2 linked regions of the Oryctolagus cuniculus genome follow. The protein of the gene in region 1 purifies or fractionates together with the protein of each later gene. This does not show direct contact. Links are inferred from orthologs where the notes say so. Each region holds a gene or a part of one and is shown on either strand. Other genes may lie near its edges.

Region 1 (8,040 bases):
CTCACGTGAATGTGCACCCCTGTCACTCAAGGTCTCACTGAAATGTAGCTGTGGATTTAGCAGATCCTGAGTGAGGCCTGCATTTCCGATGAGTCCTCATACAGTGCTCATCACCGGACCACACTTTGACTGGCAATGAATTAAAGAATAAGAAACTTCTGAACATACAACCCATGTTCTACTCCTTAAAGGGAGGGGTGTCATTGCTAGCTCTAAAGTGGCTCTTTTGAACCATTTGAACCAGCTAGTACACTGATATGATTAAGAGCCAAAGAAAGCAGGTAACAATATTGAAAATATTAATCTAAAACTTAGATCTGCTTATCAGGCTCAGGTACTATGCTTAGCATTTTTTAATTTTTTAATTTTTATTTTTTTAATTTTTGACAGGCAGAGTGGACAGTGAGAGAGAGAGAGAGACAGAGAGAAAGGTCTTCCTTTTGCCGTTGGTTCACCCTCCAATGGCTGCCGCAGCCGGTGCACTGTGGCCGGTGCATCGCACTGATCCGAAGCCAGGAGCCAGGTGCTTCTCCTGGTCTCCCATGGGGTGCAGGGCCCAAGCACTTGGGCCATCCTCCACTGCACTCCCGGGCCATAGCAGAGAGCTGGCCTGGAAGAGGGGCAACCGGGACAGCATCCGGCGCCCCGACCAGGACTAGAACCCGGTGTGCCGGTGCCGCAAGGCAGAGGATTAGCCTATTGAGCCACAGTGCCGGCCTATGCTTAGCATATTAAATATCTTATTTCACTTAATCTTTAAAAACCTTATGTCCCTTAGTTGTTCAATAGCCCCTTAGTCCCTATGGATTATAAGTAGTTCTCTGGGGATGCAGAAACAGACACACCTAACATCAAGCAGGTGTACAAGGCTTGAAGATAGTGAGGCTGGAATTCGAACCCATGCTCAGAATTGACAAGCGCGTCACTGTGCTAGAGTGCCTCTGGTGAGTCTGGTGCCTGGGACGCTTTCGAGGGCTCTGAGCTGCAGGGGACACTGGTTTTTACCCCTCACCCACACAGGACTGGTTAGTGAGGATCACTTCCGTCACACAGAACCTGTGTGACTCCCAGGCTTAGAACATAAAGTTTTGGCATTGAGACTCAAACATTTTCCTTGGGGGGGCTACTCAGCAAATACCTACCTGTTCACGCTTATCTCCCTTGGTGTAGCCAAAGTGGTCCATCAAGACTTTGGAAACATAATCAGGAACTTGACCATCAACCCAATACAAAGCCTTATTGACACTGTCTGGGAAAAATCCTTGCTTTCCAAAAAGAGCTTCCAGCGTTGGCTCAAATCCTTTTCCTTCTAAGCCAATCTGATAAAAAAAAAATCAGGCAAGAAAAACCCATTGGGTTTTATTGCTGTTATATGTTGGTCTCCTAGTCCCCTCTATGTCCATTTAATTATACCAGTGTTTGATCACTACCATGGGGCAGGAGCTGAGCTTAACACTTCACATCAGGTGTCTTATTTAAATCCCACTAGAATCTTAGGATGCATTCACCTTTTTCTAGAAGAGGTGGCAGAAGTTCAGAGAGGATAAATAATTGAACCAGGGATTCAGAGTTGAGAGTGGATTTGGTGTTTGAACCAGATATGACTACACAGTCCATGGATTTCCATGGATTTTGGATTGCAGGGCTTCTCTGGCATATCTGCATTTCCATTATCACTAAGAATTGCTTCAGAGGACCCCTTGTGAGGGGAGAGGTAGATGAGCCTCAAAGGGGCGGTACAGACTGCCTGATGGTTCCTGCTCCTGCCCAGGCTGGATTGTGGCTCCCTTAGCTTTCTTCTTATGGTGTCATTCAGAATGGACTAGAGAACTTATGACTCTGCTTCAGTCTCATGCATACCTCGAAAAGGTCAGCTGGAGCAAATCCAAAGACAGTAAGGGTCGTTTTCAGCATGCTTTCTTTAGGAAGGTAATTATTTGGATCAAAAATCATATTCCCTTCGATTTTGGCTGAGACTGGGTCAAGTGATGGGAGTGAAACAGATTTGGAAAGTTGATAGTTCCGGGAAAATTTTCTGAAGTCCATGACAGTTGGAAGTTGAGATTCTCTTAGAGCTTCTTTCACTACATTTTTCAGACTGTATGGAAAGAAGAAACATATTTTGAGCCCACACACTATGTGACTTACCCACTGTCTCTTATACCACAAGAAAGTATGGATTTCTAGTTGCAATTTTTAAAAAATTTTTAAAAGATTTTATTTATTTATTTGACAGCTAGAGTTACAGACAGTGTGAGAGAGAGACAGAGAGAAAGGTCTTCCTTCCATTGGTTCACTTCCCAAATGGCCGCAATGGCCGGAGCTGCGCTGATCTGAAGCCAGGAGCCAGGTGCTTCTTCCTGGTCTCCCATGCGGGTATAGGGGCCCAAGCATTGGGCCATCTTTTAGTGCTTTCGCAGGCCACAGCAGAGAGCTGGACTGGAAGAGGAGCAACCGGGACTAGAACCGGCGCCCATATGGGATGCTGACGCTGCAGGCAGAGGGTTAACCTAGTGCCCCTCTAGTTGCAATTTTAATATATGGGTAGCATTCTCCTAGATCTTTGGCTTAGGCTCTGCTGCACATTTGCACAAGGGTTTGTTGCAGAAGAAAGCACACTCCATGAAGGGGAGGCAGTAGCTCTACCTGAATTGAGGCCTGGAATTCTAGCCCTGGGCCCTCAGAAGCAGATGGGTATGGGGCGATTACTCTTACTTACTCTTGGATGTACAGTTCTTCTGAGTTCAAGATGTTGGCAAGGTGGGAAGCCACAAAGTTCTTCACCTGCTCATTCCGTTCCCCGGGGAGAAGTTGGGCAATTTGGTTAATAGCTGACTGGGAAGCTCCCCTGATCAGCATGAGATAGGCAGCCAGTCGCTTGTCCACTGGAGAAGTATCATTGAGGAAAGTCTGAAGAAGGACACCCTGGACCTGCAGCCCAGAGAGAAGACTGTTATGGGTGTCCTTTGGTTGAGTGTAGACTGTGTATGACCAACACTGGCATGACTTGCTAGCTCTTTCTTCTGTGCAAGTCTAGTGTCTTCCTAATAACTTCACATGCTGGTACTGAATCTTCTCACACTTTCCCCCAGAGCAACCAGCTCAAGATAGGACTCTCAGAAGACTCCCATCAAAAATGTGAATTCAGATGCGTTAGGGCATACTAACTATGACTTGCTATGAGATCTGCCACTGAGTGAAGATAAAGTTGTTTTAACATTGTTCTTTCAATGTGAGGATCAGAGTGGAAAGGGTTAGTGAGAAGTAGGGGCTAATAAATGCGGCAGTCTGCAAAGCTCTGGAGTCCTTGCCGTGTAAGCAGGGGCCTGGTTCACTGTCCTGGTCTGGGGGCACTTGGGACAATTAAGCATGTTTTCCCAAGACGGCCGTGATGAAAGGAGGCCGGCAGGCAGCGCAGTTCTGTGTTCTACTTGCTGCAGGAGCAGCGAGCTCGCATGCCACACGTGCTTGGCACTCAAGTCAATAGACTTGTTGAAATATGCAACTCGAAAAGACTAGAAGAAAGTCACCAGAGTGATGAAGTTTAAAATCTCATTCCCCTTGTGCCGTCCAAATCCCTGTTCATCTGAACAAACATTCACTTTCAGACCTTCTCTGTGGATTTTACCTCGTCTGTAATTTCCATCTTCCTCAGGGCCTGGATGGCGGCTTTCTGAATCAGCAGGGATGGCTTTGTACTTTTGATGCATTTCAGGACAGAATTCTTCACTCTTGGTGTTACCTGCTCCATGGTTCTGCCCATATTTCCGATGGCCTGCATTAGGGGAAAGAATTGATCAGGGTGTAGGATAAGTAAGAGGTGTGTGGGAAAAGCATCTGTGACATAGCGCATTTGACACAAAAGCCTGAAAGTACCCTGAGAATCAGGTAGGTGCGGTCTTCATCTCCATTGCACTCTGTGCCAATCTGCTCCACCAGGTAGTCAGCAATGTCCTGCAGGCCCTGGGTCACCCTACGGGTTGTCATGTGATAGCTACAGAATAAGAGAGGAGAATTAGAACTCACTGTGAGGTTTGATTAACCTCCAGACTTGTCTACTGATTTCTTCTTTCAAGTCATTTCAAAATGATCTGTAGAAAAGAGAGAGAGCAGCAGGGCTTGAAAGTGGAGGGAGGGGCACACATTCATACAGAGCTGTGGGTTTTTCTCTGCTCCTAGGCAGAGCAATACAGTCTGAAGACTCACCTGTTGACCACATGGCTCAGCGCATAAAAGGTAGCCCGGCTCTGCTGTTCCTTGGTCACACTGAAGATCTCCTGTAGCCTCTGTTCTGAGGGCTCTGGGATCAAGGCCAGCAAGTAGGTGACAACATCTATCAGCAGCGGGTTGGCGTCTACACTTTTCAGCCACTGGAGGATGTGAGTGTAACACTGGGGCTGTCCGCACTGAACTAAGGCTTGCAAAGTGATGGGGCTGAGAAGAGAAGTACAGAGAGTTATGTAGAACCCATGGCGTGTCTCTGCCAGGAGTGCCCTATTCCCCTCATTCTCTATCCAAATCAAGCCATCCTTCAACCTCCAGCTTGGAACCCAGGAACCTTGACTCCTTCCCTAGGGGTACCACCCACTGTAGGAGCACCGTTGAGGAAAGTCTGCAGAAGGACCCCTGAACCTGTAGCCAAATGAAGAGACTCTTATTACTGTCCTTTGGTTAGGACACAGAACATGCCTGGCAAACGTTGACATGGTCTCATTCCTGGCCTCTGTCCCTTCATAACCTTCATAACCTTCCTAGCACTGTGAGCCAGTGACCTCACATGTAGAGAAATCACGTTTGTTTGCTTGAGTTCTCTCTCCATTGGCCTGTAATCTTCCATAGGGCACAGGTGGCTTATCTTCTCAAACTTTCCAGGGTACACTCAATAGAAACAGGAATTAGATGATGCTCATCAAAATGTGGGAATGATTTACCTTATAACTTAACATCTACACAGTTGCCTAGAATGCAGTGTGCGTGTGCGTTGCCCATGGAATTGCAAGCACTCTATCTATCAAACAGTAACTGATTGATCAGTTGATTAATTGCATTGATATTTAGATGGTCTCTGAGATTCTCTGGTTGAGGGTTGAAGGTTTGGCCAGCTGCCATAGGTTGTATGAAAGACTGAGCTGCAGTCATTAAAGACATACCTGGAGACCTCAATCAGCTGGGGCAGGAGGGACGCAACCGCCTCGCTGCTGAGGCCTCTCAGCTCGGTAACCAGTTTATTGAAGAGGTTTGCCCGCTGGGCGTTCTGCTCAGAAACGGACAGCGCTCTCAGTTCCTGGAGAGTCTTCAGCACGGGCTCAGTCTGCTTTGGTGGTGATGTGGACTTGGTGTTCTCGAAGGCCAGACCCACCCTCTGTGTACCTGGAAGAAGGAAGGCATCAAAGGAATAGGGTCACTTATTTCTATCGTCCAAACACATCTTCATCCACCAGAAACTGGGAACTGGGGAGGCGTCAGCAAGGGGGAAAAGAGATTATCCTGGGTGTGTTCAACACCTGCTAGATACCTGGCTTAGTGACAGGTGACTGACTGAACTGTGGTCACTCACTCGTCTACCCCCAAGGGCTCATGTTCTTCCCCAACTTAAAGATTAGAGCACTGAGATGCAGAGATGAGCAACTTGGGTTTTCTGAGAACCCTCTGGGTCTAAGAGGCAGAGGTGGACTTGAATCCAGTTTTGTCGGAATCTAGTATCAGATTACCCTTTGTTGGAGAACCAGAGGGGAGGTGCTGAGGTGACACAGTGACAGCTGAGGCTCAATTTCTTGGCACTCATCCACCATTTCTTCTAATTGGATCTACCAGCAGCTTGTGGGGCGGGGAGGCCTTGCCAGGGGGAGGGGTACATGGGAGCATGGAAGTGGGGTGTAGCAGAGTGCTGGCTTAGATTAGACCTGGCACTCAGTTTGCACTGCCTCTAATGTTCTGTGACCTTGGGTGCATTACTAATCCTCTCTGTGTCACATCGCCCTCTGTAGGATGGGCATAAAAGCGTATGTCTCACACTTTCCTGTGGACAAGGAAATCAGTGAGATAGCATATAAGAGAGAGTTTGGTAGATTTAGATACCCTACACTGTGGGGTTACGGTTGGACTAGAGATCTCTAGTACTAAAGATCAAGTCCTGAGACCACTATGTGGCTTGACCCTGAAGATCCTCTCCCACCTGCCCCACCTCCTGCAGACCAGCCCCAGGCCTTCTACAGGGTGGATGAGAAAGTCAGTTCTACCCTAAGTGCAGCCTTACACTTGGGACCGTAAAGGAACCTAGGTAGCTTTGGAAACGTCTTCCTTTTCTTTATGCCACTGCCCTTTGAGCTTCTGAAAGGAATGTGCTTTCTCACTGGAAGTGGTTTCCCAGCCTCAGTGCCAGAGTGCACCTCACTCATGAGTCAGCAGACATTCACCAGGGCCCAGAAAAGAGCAAAGCCGTGGCTGGCACATCTGCAGACTTCCCAGCAACCACGCGGACGGAGTCTCACCTTCAGTAAAGAAGCGGCTGTTGACCTTGGGTGTTTCTTCAAGTTTCAAAGACTGTGTCACGTGACCCATCATCCCATACTTATTCCTGGTTAAAGGGGGGAAGGACCTTGAGTCATGGACGGCCAGCTCCCCAGAACATTCTCCCGTTCCGTGTGTACTGTTGCCCTCATCCCTGTGCCTATCCATATCCTGTCTACCTTTTGAAGCATTTTTAGATCCAGCTACCCTTGACCCCCGGACAAGTAGCCCCTCCCCCCTCCTGGTCACATTAGTTGTCCCTCCACCACAGTATTTGTACCTTATACCGTCTACCAGTCTGCAGGGCCCAAGGGTAGAGGCTAACTCTGTGCCACAGAATTCTTTGTATCTCCCACAGCACAGCACACAGATATAGCAGTTACTAAGTAAATTCCAGTTGACTGTTGTCTTCATGATGGATTTGGATATACAAGTCTCCAGTTAAAATCCCAAATCCTTCCTCACGCCTTTCCTAATCTAGGCCCCCTGCAATGACATCCAGCTTTTCTGGACCTACAGCCCTTCAAGTCTGGGTCTGAGATTATCTTTCATTGTTCTTAAGTTGTTTGCATGTCTAAGGCTTTTCTACCTTATTGCCTGTCAGCTTGAAAAGGAGGATAAGGATGGTGTCTGCTTTGTACCTGACCGTAGCTCCCTTCCAGGCACAGCCTAGCCTGAAACAGGGCCGTGGAGAAACCCACATGGACCCGTCAGGTGAGAAATCGGGTGCAGCAGGTGACCTACTTGTGGGAGAAAGGCAGGAACAGGTGCTGCTCCTCACAGGTGGCTTCTGACACATGCTTCCTTTTGGAGTCCAGGAGGTACCGGCAGGACTGGCTGCTGCTAATCAGAGTTGACAAGGGGCGGATCTGTGAATGAGATCGGAGAACAGGATGTTCAGCTCTCGGGCCTTGAACCTGTCTTAGGATCTGCCTTCAAGGCAGAAAGGAATGGGAGTCTTGCCCAGCAGATAAACCCAGTAAACAGAACTGGACAGTTGGCATTTAGATAAGGGGAGGCAAGAAGCTGGCATAGCCAAGGGGAGTTGAGCTGTGGGTTCCTCTTATTCCACCTCAGTGGATCTCTCATCTTGCACAAAGTGTGTGCCTGTGGCCTCCACACACCCATCCTGCCACACACAACAGCTCACACAATATGAGACTCCTACACTTCCTTGCCTGCAAGCCTTTCATGTGCAAGTCCTTTATGTTTTTCAAGTCCATGCTTTTCCCAATGAGTCATGTGAATAATACTTTCGCTGTCTCGGTCAGGCCTAGCCCTGCTGTCTGCTCAGTGTACCAGTTTCCTGGGTACCCCACGCGCTGTCCTTTATTGGCATGCACATGAATCTTAGCGTTCCTGCAAGGGGAAAGGTGCAGGGTTCGTCTCCCACTGTCCTTTCCTCAGAGCTTGTCAGAGTGCGGTTGAGCAAGCCGCAGGTGCTCAGAAAAGACATCCAGGCCAGAGCACCAGCCTCTTCTGATTCTGGTCCTTACTCTCAGAATGCCTGTTTTTGCTCCCAAGGACAAT
Region 2 (8,040 bases), on another chromosome or scaffold:
CTTGATGGAAAGGTATAAAAAGTCTTTCCCCAAATAACCTTGTCTGTGATCCTCACTGAAGTTAGGCTGTCAACTCACAGGGATGACAAAGAACAACAAAATTCCAAGTAGGAAAAGGCCATCATGAACATCTAAAGCATAGGACCAAAGGATTATCCAAAACAGAGCCTGGTAAGAAACAAGGGACAATTTGAATCCAAAAGTGCTATGTTCACAGCACATGAGTTCCAGAGAAGCCCCAGTTTAATCAACCATTGTTATCTTCTGTCCTTGTGGATTACCTAACCATATAGACTAGACCACGGCCTGATATTTTCTGCCTACTGTATGTACTATGACCAATAATTTTACTCAGTGGACAATTTTCACTGCACCACGCTTTGGGTAAGGCATCTTGTATTTGACCCCAGAAGCAAGTAGTGATTACTTTGGTACCTGTTGAATAAAGAAGATACTCTAAACCCACTGAGTAAATTATGCAAACAATCACCTGAACAGGCTGTGAACAGAGGGTGTTACTTCAGAAAAAACACATCCACTTCTAGAATTTTGTAATAGCAAAAAGCTGTTTCTTTTTAATAATACTAATTACATAAAGTGGGACATAATCGTACGTGATCCTCAACCAGGGAATGAATGTTTGGGGTTCTTAGATGTTTACACCTGAAGACAGATTGTTATCTTTTAGCAACCCTAAGATTTTTCAGGGGGCACCCCAATCCAGTGTTTGGTCAAGATTAGGGTGCTCCTCAGGTCTAGCCTTATTGTCCACATCAAACATAGGTGAAGGGGTACCACATTCTCCACATTTGAAGCTCCATCAGGCTCCCTGCCCCTACTCCACTGCAGTCCTACTCAGTGATGGCACAGATGCAGGGTGAAACAGCAGGAGAAAATACACTGATGTTAATCAGGAAGGGAGGGGGGTGCGACTTACTTCCAGGACTTCACATTGGAATTGTGCCTTGGCAGTGAGAGGTAGCCCAAGGCCCGTCCCAGGAAAAGAAGCAGGCACAGGGGCCAGGATTCAGGCTCCATTTTGACCCAACATTTATTATCCTTTTACAACATGTCATTTTTTGGTTTAGAAACTGCTTGTGATTAGTTTTCCAACAATAACTCAAAAGCATGTAAAATAAAAATCAACCTACTCTCTATATAAACACTCAGCAACTGTGGCCCCTCACCCACCTACCCAGGTTGGATAGGGGGAAGGGAGGGCTTGGGCAGCATTGAGTGAAGTGCAGATGCTTTCCTGTGGGGGTGGCGCTAGTGCCTGGGTTCACATCCCACACAGATCCCCTGCACTGCCTCAAACTATAACAGAAATGGCGTAGGCCCAAGGCCCAATTCCCTGTTGGTAATTCACTCTCCGCCTCCCAAATGAAAATTGCTTTTATTTTTATCGCTTTTGTATTTTTTGCAACAGAAACCCCCTGTCCAGAGTCTGACTGTAGCTGAACTGTTCAGACTGAAGAATGAAGCAGGCCGTGGGCGCACCCCTGGTCCCTCCTGGGCAAGCGCCCCCACCCCCTGGGAACAAGGTCCAGCCAGGCCAGCTCGCTGCATGCTGGCCAACATCACTTAGCCATACAGGTCATCATCATTGTCTTCTGTATACACACTGCCGCCTGTGCCGCCTCCACTGCCCTGACTGGGGCCAGCTCCACCCTGGTTCCCTGAAGGGAATCTGTGTACAAGAGCAGAATCAAAAATGAAAGTTAGAACAGGCCTGCACAGGATTTTCAGAACTACCCATCTAGCCTCCTTAGGGACTCCCAACACCTTGTTTGTGTAGGTCCCCAAGGCAATTTAACCACTGCTCACTGCCCTCAGTTACCTGAAGCTGCCAAATCCTCGACTCTGCTGAAGGGTCTGGGCAAACATCTCATACTTCCGAATGTCATTGTCACTGACAGAACGGCGGGCAAAGCGCATGGCTTCCTCAAAGTGATCTCGGCGAATCTCTGGCACTGGATCATCCTCTTCTACTTCCTATAGTGTTGGTAAACACAGACCACCAGAGTAGTTAAGGATTAGCCTGGACTCCATTCCTGGCCTCCCTGCCTCTCATTATTGTGGGAGTTTACTGGTTTGCCTGCCCCTCCAAATCCAACCTAAACTTCCTAAGACTGAGTCACTGCTCTGCTTAAAAATTCATCAGTGCATTCTCGCAAAGGGCAAACTATACAGATGAAAATCATATCAGTGGTTGCCAGGGGCTTAGAGAAGATGCTGTCTCAAGTGGCCTGAGGACACTTTATGGAACAGAAATTTCTTTATCTCAACTATGGTAATAGCCACAGACTTTACATATTTCTATCAAAAAGCATGAAAACTGATGTCAGCATCAGAGGGTTATGCCATCACCTGTCTGCCATACCAGCACCCCATGAGTGCCAGTTCAAGTCCCCGCTGCTCCTCTTCTGATCCAGCTCCCTGCTAATGCCCCTGGGAAAGCAGTGGAAGATGACCCAAATGCACCCACATGGGAGACCCAGATAAGTTCCTGGCTTTAGCCTGGCCCCAGCTCCAGTTGTTGCGGCTATTTGGGAAGTAAACCAGAAGATGGAAGATCTCTCTGTCTCTCCCTTTCTCTGTTAACTCTGCCTCTTGAATAAAAATAAATCTTAAAAAATTCCTGCAATTCTAGTACTAGAGAAAATTATGTGGGCTGCTTTTCCCTTTGTCAAACCCTTTCTATTCCACTGAGGCTACCCCAATTGCTTTGAATTATGAAATAGCTTCCTAGGATTATGACATCAGATTTTAAGCTCCTAAGGAAGGGAAAAATGTCACAGACCCCTTCCAAAAGACAAAGAAAGTCACTCATTAAGTCCTAAATATAATGCCAGGATACAGTGGGAATCAAGTGAGATGGTAAGAGTCCTTACCATCACAGAGCTTGCACATACACACATACAAACCTGTATTTCATTTTGGGGGTTCTATGGCTGCCTTCCCCAACCACCAAGGAGAGATCTATAGATCCTAGGATTAGATTCTGGGTTTGAAGCTCTTTCCCTTTTTTTGCTACACAACCACACTTTAATTTCCCTCCAGGACCTAGTTTAGACTGAGCATATAGCCCGCCCATCTCTTCTCAGCCTTATTCCAGACCAAACAGGCTCACTTCAGTGTTCTCTTTGGTGTCCTGATAAACATCTTAGTCAGAGCATCCTTCCAATACCATGCATTCTCAACTCTAGGGCATGGTGGAGACTGTTCCCTGACTCCTCAGGATTGAGACAGCTGGGGAAAAGATGCAGACTCACTCACCATGGCTGATGGGTTTGTTTGCCTCTCCCGTTCTCGCCTGATCTCACTTTCAATGGATTCACGGATGGCCAGTTTGCAAGCACGTTGGCAAATCTCTGTTAAGTCAGCTCCAGAGAAGCCATTGGTCATCTTAGCCAGGAACTCCAAATCCACATCCTAAAAGAAGCAAAGGAGCTATCAACATTTAGGTTTTCCTTCCCTGGAATATACAATTTTTGAGGCTACCCAAGCACTCCCAACTTCAGTTTGCCCCAGCTTCTGCCACTCCATTTTTCCTTCAAATAACATAATCCTTCAGACCTTCCACTTTCCTTTAGACCAATCCCATCCTCAGAAATCCCCAATGAATTTTATCTAAGGACTCATAGTAATCCCCATGGCCTGTGACCCTGCACCTGCCTTGGCAACAGGAGACTTGCGCAGGTTAGCTTTGAGGATGGCAACACGGGACTTCTCATCAGGAAGTGGGATGTAGATGAGCTGATCAAGACGTCCAGGTCTCAAGATGGCAGGATCAATGATATCAGGCCGGTTGGTAGCGCCAATGATGAACACATTCTTTTTTGTGGACATGCCATCCATTTCTGTCAGGATCTGGTTGATGACTCGGTCAGCAGCCCCACCACCATCTCCAATGTTACCACCACGAGCCTTGGCAATTGAATCCAGCTCATCAAAGAATAGCACACAGGGAGCAGCTTGGCGGGCCTGTAGGACGGACAGACTAACTCAACCAGGAACATAACTGGGTCTCAAATCTTAGAAGGAAAATGCAGTGAACTTCACTGCCCCACCTGGGTAACCAGCAGTAAGATGGTTTGATTCTCTTAAAGAAAACAGCCTCTATCCCTACCTTGCCCCAAGCAAGGGAACAGATAGCCCTCCTTCCCTCTCTCCCTTCTATAGCTCACCTTGTCAAAGATTTCCCTAACATTGGCTTCAGACTCCCCAAACCACATAGTAAGCAGCTCAGGACCCTTGATGGAGATGAAGTTGGCCTGACATTCATTAGCAATGGCTTTGGCCAGCAGAGTTTTCCCACATCCAGGAGGTCCATAGAATAGAACTCCCTTGGAGGGTGTCATGCCAAACTTGAGGAATTTGTCTGGATGCTCCACAGGATACTAGAAGGAAATGAGAAAAAGATTCAAGGCTATCTTCATATTTTTAAAGAAATCTAACCAAACAGAAGCATCTTTCCCACCACTTCATGGTGTACTCCACCATGTAAAATCCAGGTTCTCTAGAAGCAGAAAGACTTCCTAGTGCCTCAAATTCTAAGAGAATGGCAGGTCTCTCGGTTGTGGCCACAACTCTTCAACGTGCTGACTCCCTGAGACCACCCAGGAGAGAATGAACTTCAATGAACTGAAGCAGTGATTCACCCTGGACCAAGTCAACCTACCTGGACCAGTTCCTGAAGTTCACGTTTGACATCCTCCAGGCCCCCGATGTCTTCCCAGGTTACTTGTGGTACCTCTACCACAGTTTCCCGCAGTGCTGATGGGTTGCTCTGACTTAAGGCCCACTAAAAAGGGAGGAAAAATGGAAATGAGACTTAACCAGGGGAGGGGTCAATGTATATACGACTGTACCAGAGGTAGAGGTATGGCCCTTACCCGGAAGTCATCCATAGTAACTGCCAGGGAGTTCATGACCTCAGCATCAATGGTCTCATCCTCTAGGTCAATGAGATCCATCTTCTTGCGGATGGCCTGCAGAGCAGCCTCCGAGCACAGGGCTGCTAAATCAGCACCCACGTGCCCATGAGTCTCATTGGCTACCTGCAGAGAGAAGATCTACTTACTATGCCATCTCAAAGACAGAGCTGCCTTCAGGAAGCTTGAAGACAACAGAATGTTGGCCCCTTCCCCTGATTTCTATATCTGGGTCATCCCATTTCCTTAACTAGCAGACCCTTCACTGGCTAGGGTTTAAATACTCAAGTCTGGGACTTGAGGCCTAGAAATAAAACTTGCCCAACAACTCAGGTTTACTTTTAACATATTATCAACTGAGACACATGCCAGCTCTGATTTCCTGAACTCAATCTGAGCTCATTTCCTTTCCCTTACCCATGAATCAAAACGAATCTAGTAACAGCTTAAGTTTATGTCCCTAGCCAGTTCCCTACAAACTGCCTAGGAAAAGAGATATCCTAACTCCTGGTCAGCTCTCATCACCACTCCACCTGTTCCAGGTCCACATCATCTGCCAGCTTCATGTTCTTGGTATGGATCTGAAGAATTTCCAAGCGTCCTGTAGCATCAGGGATTCCAATATCTACCTCCCTGTCAAAGCGACCTGTGGGACAGTGTGTGAACATAGACAGGGCTCATTTCTGGACCAGAGGGAAAAAGGAAGAAGCCTAAAGTGACTGATCATCTCAGTTAACTCAGAACTGTACTGGCATTAGCACTGAAAGTCCTATGTCTCTGGAAACCCCTCAGTCTCAAGCCAATCAGGATGGCTGGTCACTCTAGACAGGATACAGGATACAAGGACCCTTGTGCCCTACCACTGCAAAAAAACTTCAAGGAATCCTCATAATCAAATCAGGTGACTCAGATGAAGGATAGAGATTAAACTCAATAGATCTATAATCTCTCTATGAGCAAGGAAAGGGTGAAGGAAGCTGGAGTCCTTACCAAACCGTCGCAGTGCCGGGTCAATGCTGTTGGGTCTGTTGGTTGCTGCCATAACTATCACGTGTGCCCTCTGCTTTAGTCCATCCATAAGGGTCAACAATTGTGATACAATACGCCGCTCCACCTCCCCGTGAGTCTGGCAGGACAAATGTCTGGTCAGAAGCAATGTTAGGACCTTTCAACCTCCCACCATTCCCTCGGGTAAACTCCTACTTTCTCTCTTTTGGGAGCAATGGCATCCAGTTCATCAATGAAGATGATGGCAGGAGCATTCTTCTCCGCTTCCTCAAAGGCTTTACGAAGATTGCTCTCAGACTCACCAGCCAACTTGCTCATGATCTCAGGACCTGAAAGAAAACAAAATGAAGACAATGATAAAATTACAACCTTTCCCAGTCCCAAAATAAATCAGTTACCTTATCTGCCCTAGGATAGGTCCTGGATGAGAAGATACTAACTTCCGTCTACCTTCTCACCAATGCCAGCTATCACCCAGGACAGCCACAAAGCTGGGGTAGAGAAACCAAGCACATTTTTTTCAAAGTGTAAAGGTCTCTGGCAAGAGCAGGAGACATCACACAAGCTGGATCTCTACAGCTTAACATTCTCTAAGAGACAGGTGGTGTTGGCCCATCTTCCCTAAGCCTCTCAAATAGGCATCATACCTTTATTTTATTTTTTTTTTTAATTCCAACTTGCTCCCCCTTAAATATCTTGGGGCTGGCATTGTGGAGTAGCAGGTAAAGCTATCACCATGCCACACAAGCATCCCATATGGGAACCAGTTCACGTCTCAGCAGCTCTACTGCCAATCTAGCTCCCTGCTAAAGGCCTAGAAAAGCAGTGGAAGATGGCCTAAATGCCACCCACATAGGAGACCCAGATGAAGTTCCTGACTCCTGGCTTCAGCCTGGCTCAGACTGGGCCCTTGTGGTCATTTGGGGAGTAAACCAGCGGATGGAAGATCTCTGTCTCTCCCTCTCTCTGTAACTCTTTTAAATACATAAATATTCCTTACAAAAATGTACACAACTTTTTCTAGGTTGAGGGGAAAAGACAAAAAGTATCAGTATAAAATATCTCCCACTTGGCCGGCGCCACGGCTCACTAGGCTAATCCTCCGCCTGCGGCGCTGGCACACCGGGTTCTAGTCCCAGTCGGGGCGCCGGATTCTGTCCCGGTTGCCCCTCTTCCAGGCCAGCTCTCTGCTGTGGCCAGGGAGTGCAGTGGAGGATGGCCCAAGTGCTTGGGCCCTGCACCCCATGGGAGACCAGAAGCACCTGGCTCCTGCCATCGGATCAGTGCAGTGCGCCAGCCACAGCGTGCCGGCCGCGGCGGCCATTGGAGGGTGAACCAGCGGCAAAAGGAAGACCTTTCTCTCTGTCTCTCTCTCTCACTGTCCACTCTGCCTGTCAAAAAAAAAAAAAAAAAAAAAATCTCCCACTTGTTGCTGACCTGTCTATAATGTACCCCAGCAAAAGATGCTAAAGTGTGCATGAGAGCATGGCTGCAAATGGATGTTATCAATGAGCTGTTCAGGCCAGGGCTAGTTCTAGACAGACACAAGACAAATCAAATCTCTTACCATTGATCAGGAAGAAGAAGGCCCCAGTTTCATTTGCCACAGCTCGGGCAATCAGGGTCTTCCCTGTTCCAGGAGGTCCATAGAGCAGGATTCCCCGAGGAGGCTGGGGACCAACATAAGAGCAATTAGAATTAGACTCCTGACTTCTCAACGCCACTCACCTCAAACTGGCTTGACTAGGACTCTAGAAAGGGTGAGAATTAGAATTCAATTCTGGGAGCCGGCACTGTGGCGCAGCAGGTTAACGCCCTGGCCTGCAGTGCCAGCATCCCATATGGGTGCCGGTTCAAGTCCCAGCTGATCCACTTCTGATCCAGCTCTCTGCTGTGGCCTGGGATAGCAGTGGAAAACGGCCCAAGTCGTTGGGCCCCTGCACCTGCATGGGAGACCCGGAGGAAGCTCCTGGCTTCCGATTGGCACAGCTCTGGCCGTTGCAGCTAATTGGGGAGTGAACCATCGGATGGAAGACCTCTCTCTCTCTGTGTAATTCTGACTTTCAAATAAATAAATAAATCTTAAAAAAAAAAA

The links. The genes of interacting proteins can lie anywhere in the genome.
Region 2: the proteins of APOB (region 1) and VCP purify together in Homo sapiens (affinity purification with western blotting, with the first as the bait; 3 studies listed by BioGRID). This does not show direct contact. The link is inferred for Oryctolagus cuniculus from reciprocal best matches to the Homo sapiens genes APOB and VCP.

The regions. Positions count from the first base shown.
Region 1 is NC_091433.1:181,594,840-181,602,879, reverse strand, and holds part of APOB (apolipoprotein B), read right to left. Parts: intron 7,380-8,040; coding exon 7,255-7,379; intron 6,578-7,254; coding exon 6,492-6,577; intron 5,371-6,491; coding exon 5,151-5,370; intron 4,435-5,150; coding exon 4,207-4,434; intron 3,995-4,206; coding exon 3,877-3,994; intron 3,776-3,876; coding exon 3,629-3,775; intron 2,932-3,628; coding exon 2,720-2,931; intron 2,099-2,719; coding exon 1,861-2,098; intron 1,320-1,860; coding exon 1,143-1,319; intron 1-1,142. UniProt on the Homo sapiens protein: Apolipoprotein B is a major protein constituent of chylomicrons (apo B-48), LDL (apo B-100) and VLDL (apo B-100). Apo B-100 functions as a recognition signal for the cellular binding and internalization of LDL particles by the apoB/E receptor.
Region 2 is NC_091432.1:198,019,501-198,027,540, forward strand, and holds the end of VCP (transitional endoplasmic reticulum ATPase), read right to left. Parts: intron 7,616-8,040; coding exon 7,513-7,615; intron 6,275-7,512; coding exon 6,141-6,274; intron 6,064-6,140; coding exon 5,928-6,063; intron 5,584-5,927; coding exon 5,471-5,583; intron 5,064-5,470; coding exon 4,899-5,063; intron 4,808-4,898; coding exon 4,685-4,807; intron 4,404-4,684; coding exon 4,191-4,403; intron 3,988-4,190; coding exon 3,679-3,987; intron 3,436-3,678; coding exon 3,280-3,435; intron 1,996-3,279; coding exon 1,841-1,995; intron 1,691-1,840; coding exon 1,585-1,690; 3' UTR 548-1,584; downstream 1-547. UniProt on the Homo sapiens protein: Necessary for the fragmentation of Golgi stacks during mitosis and for their reassembly after mitosis. Involved in the formation of the transitional endoplasmic reticulum (tER).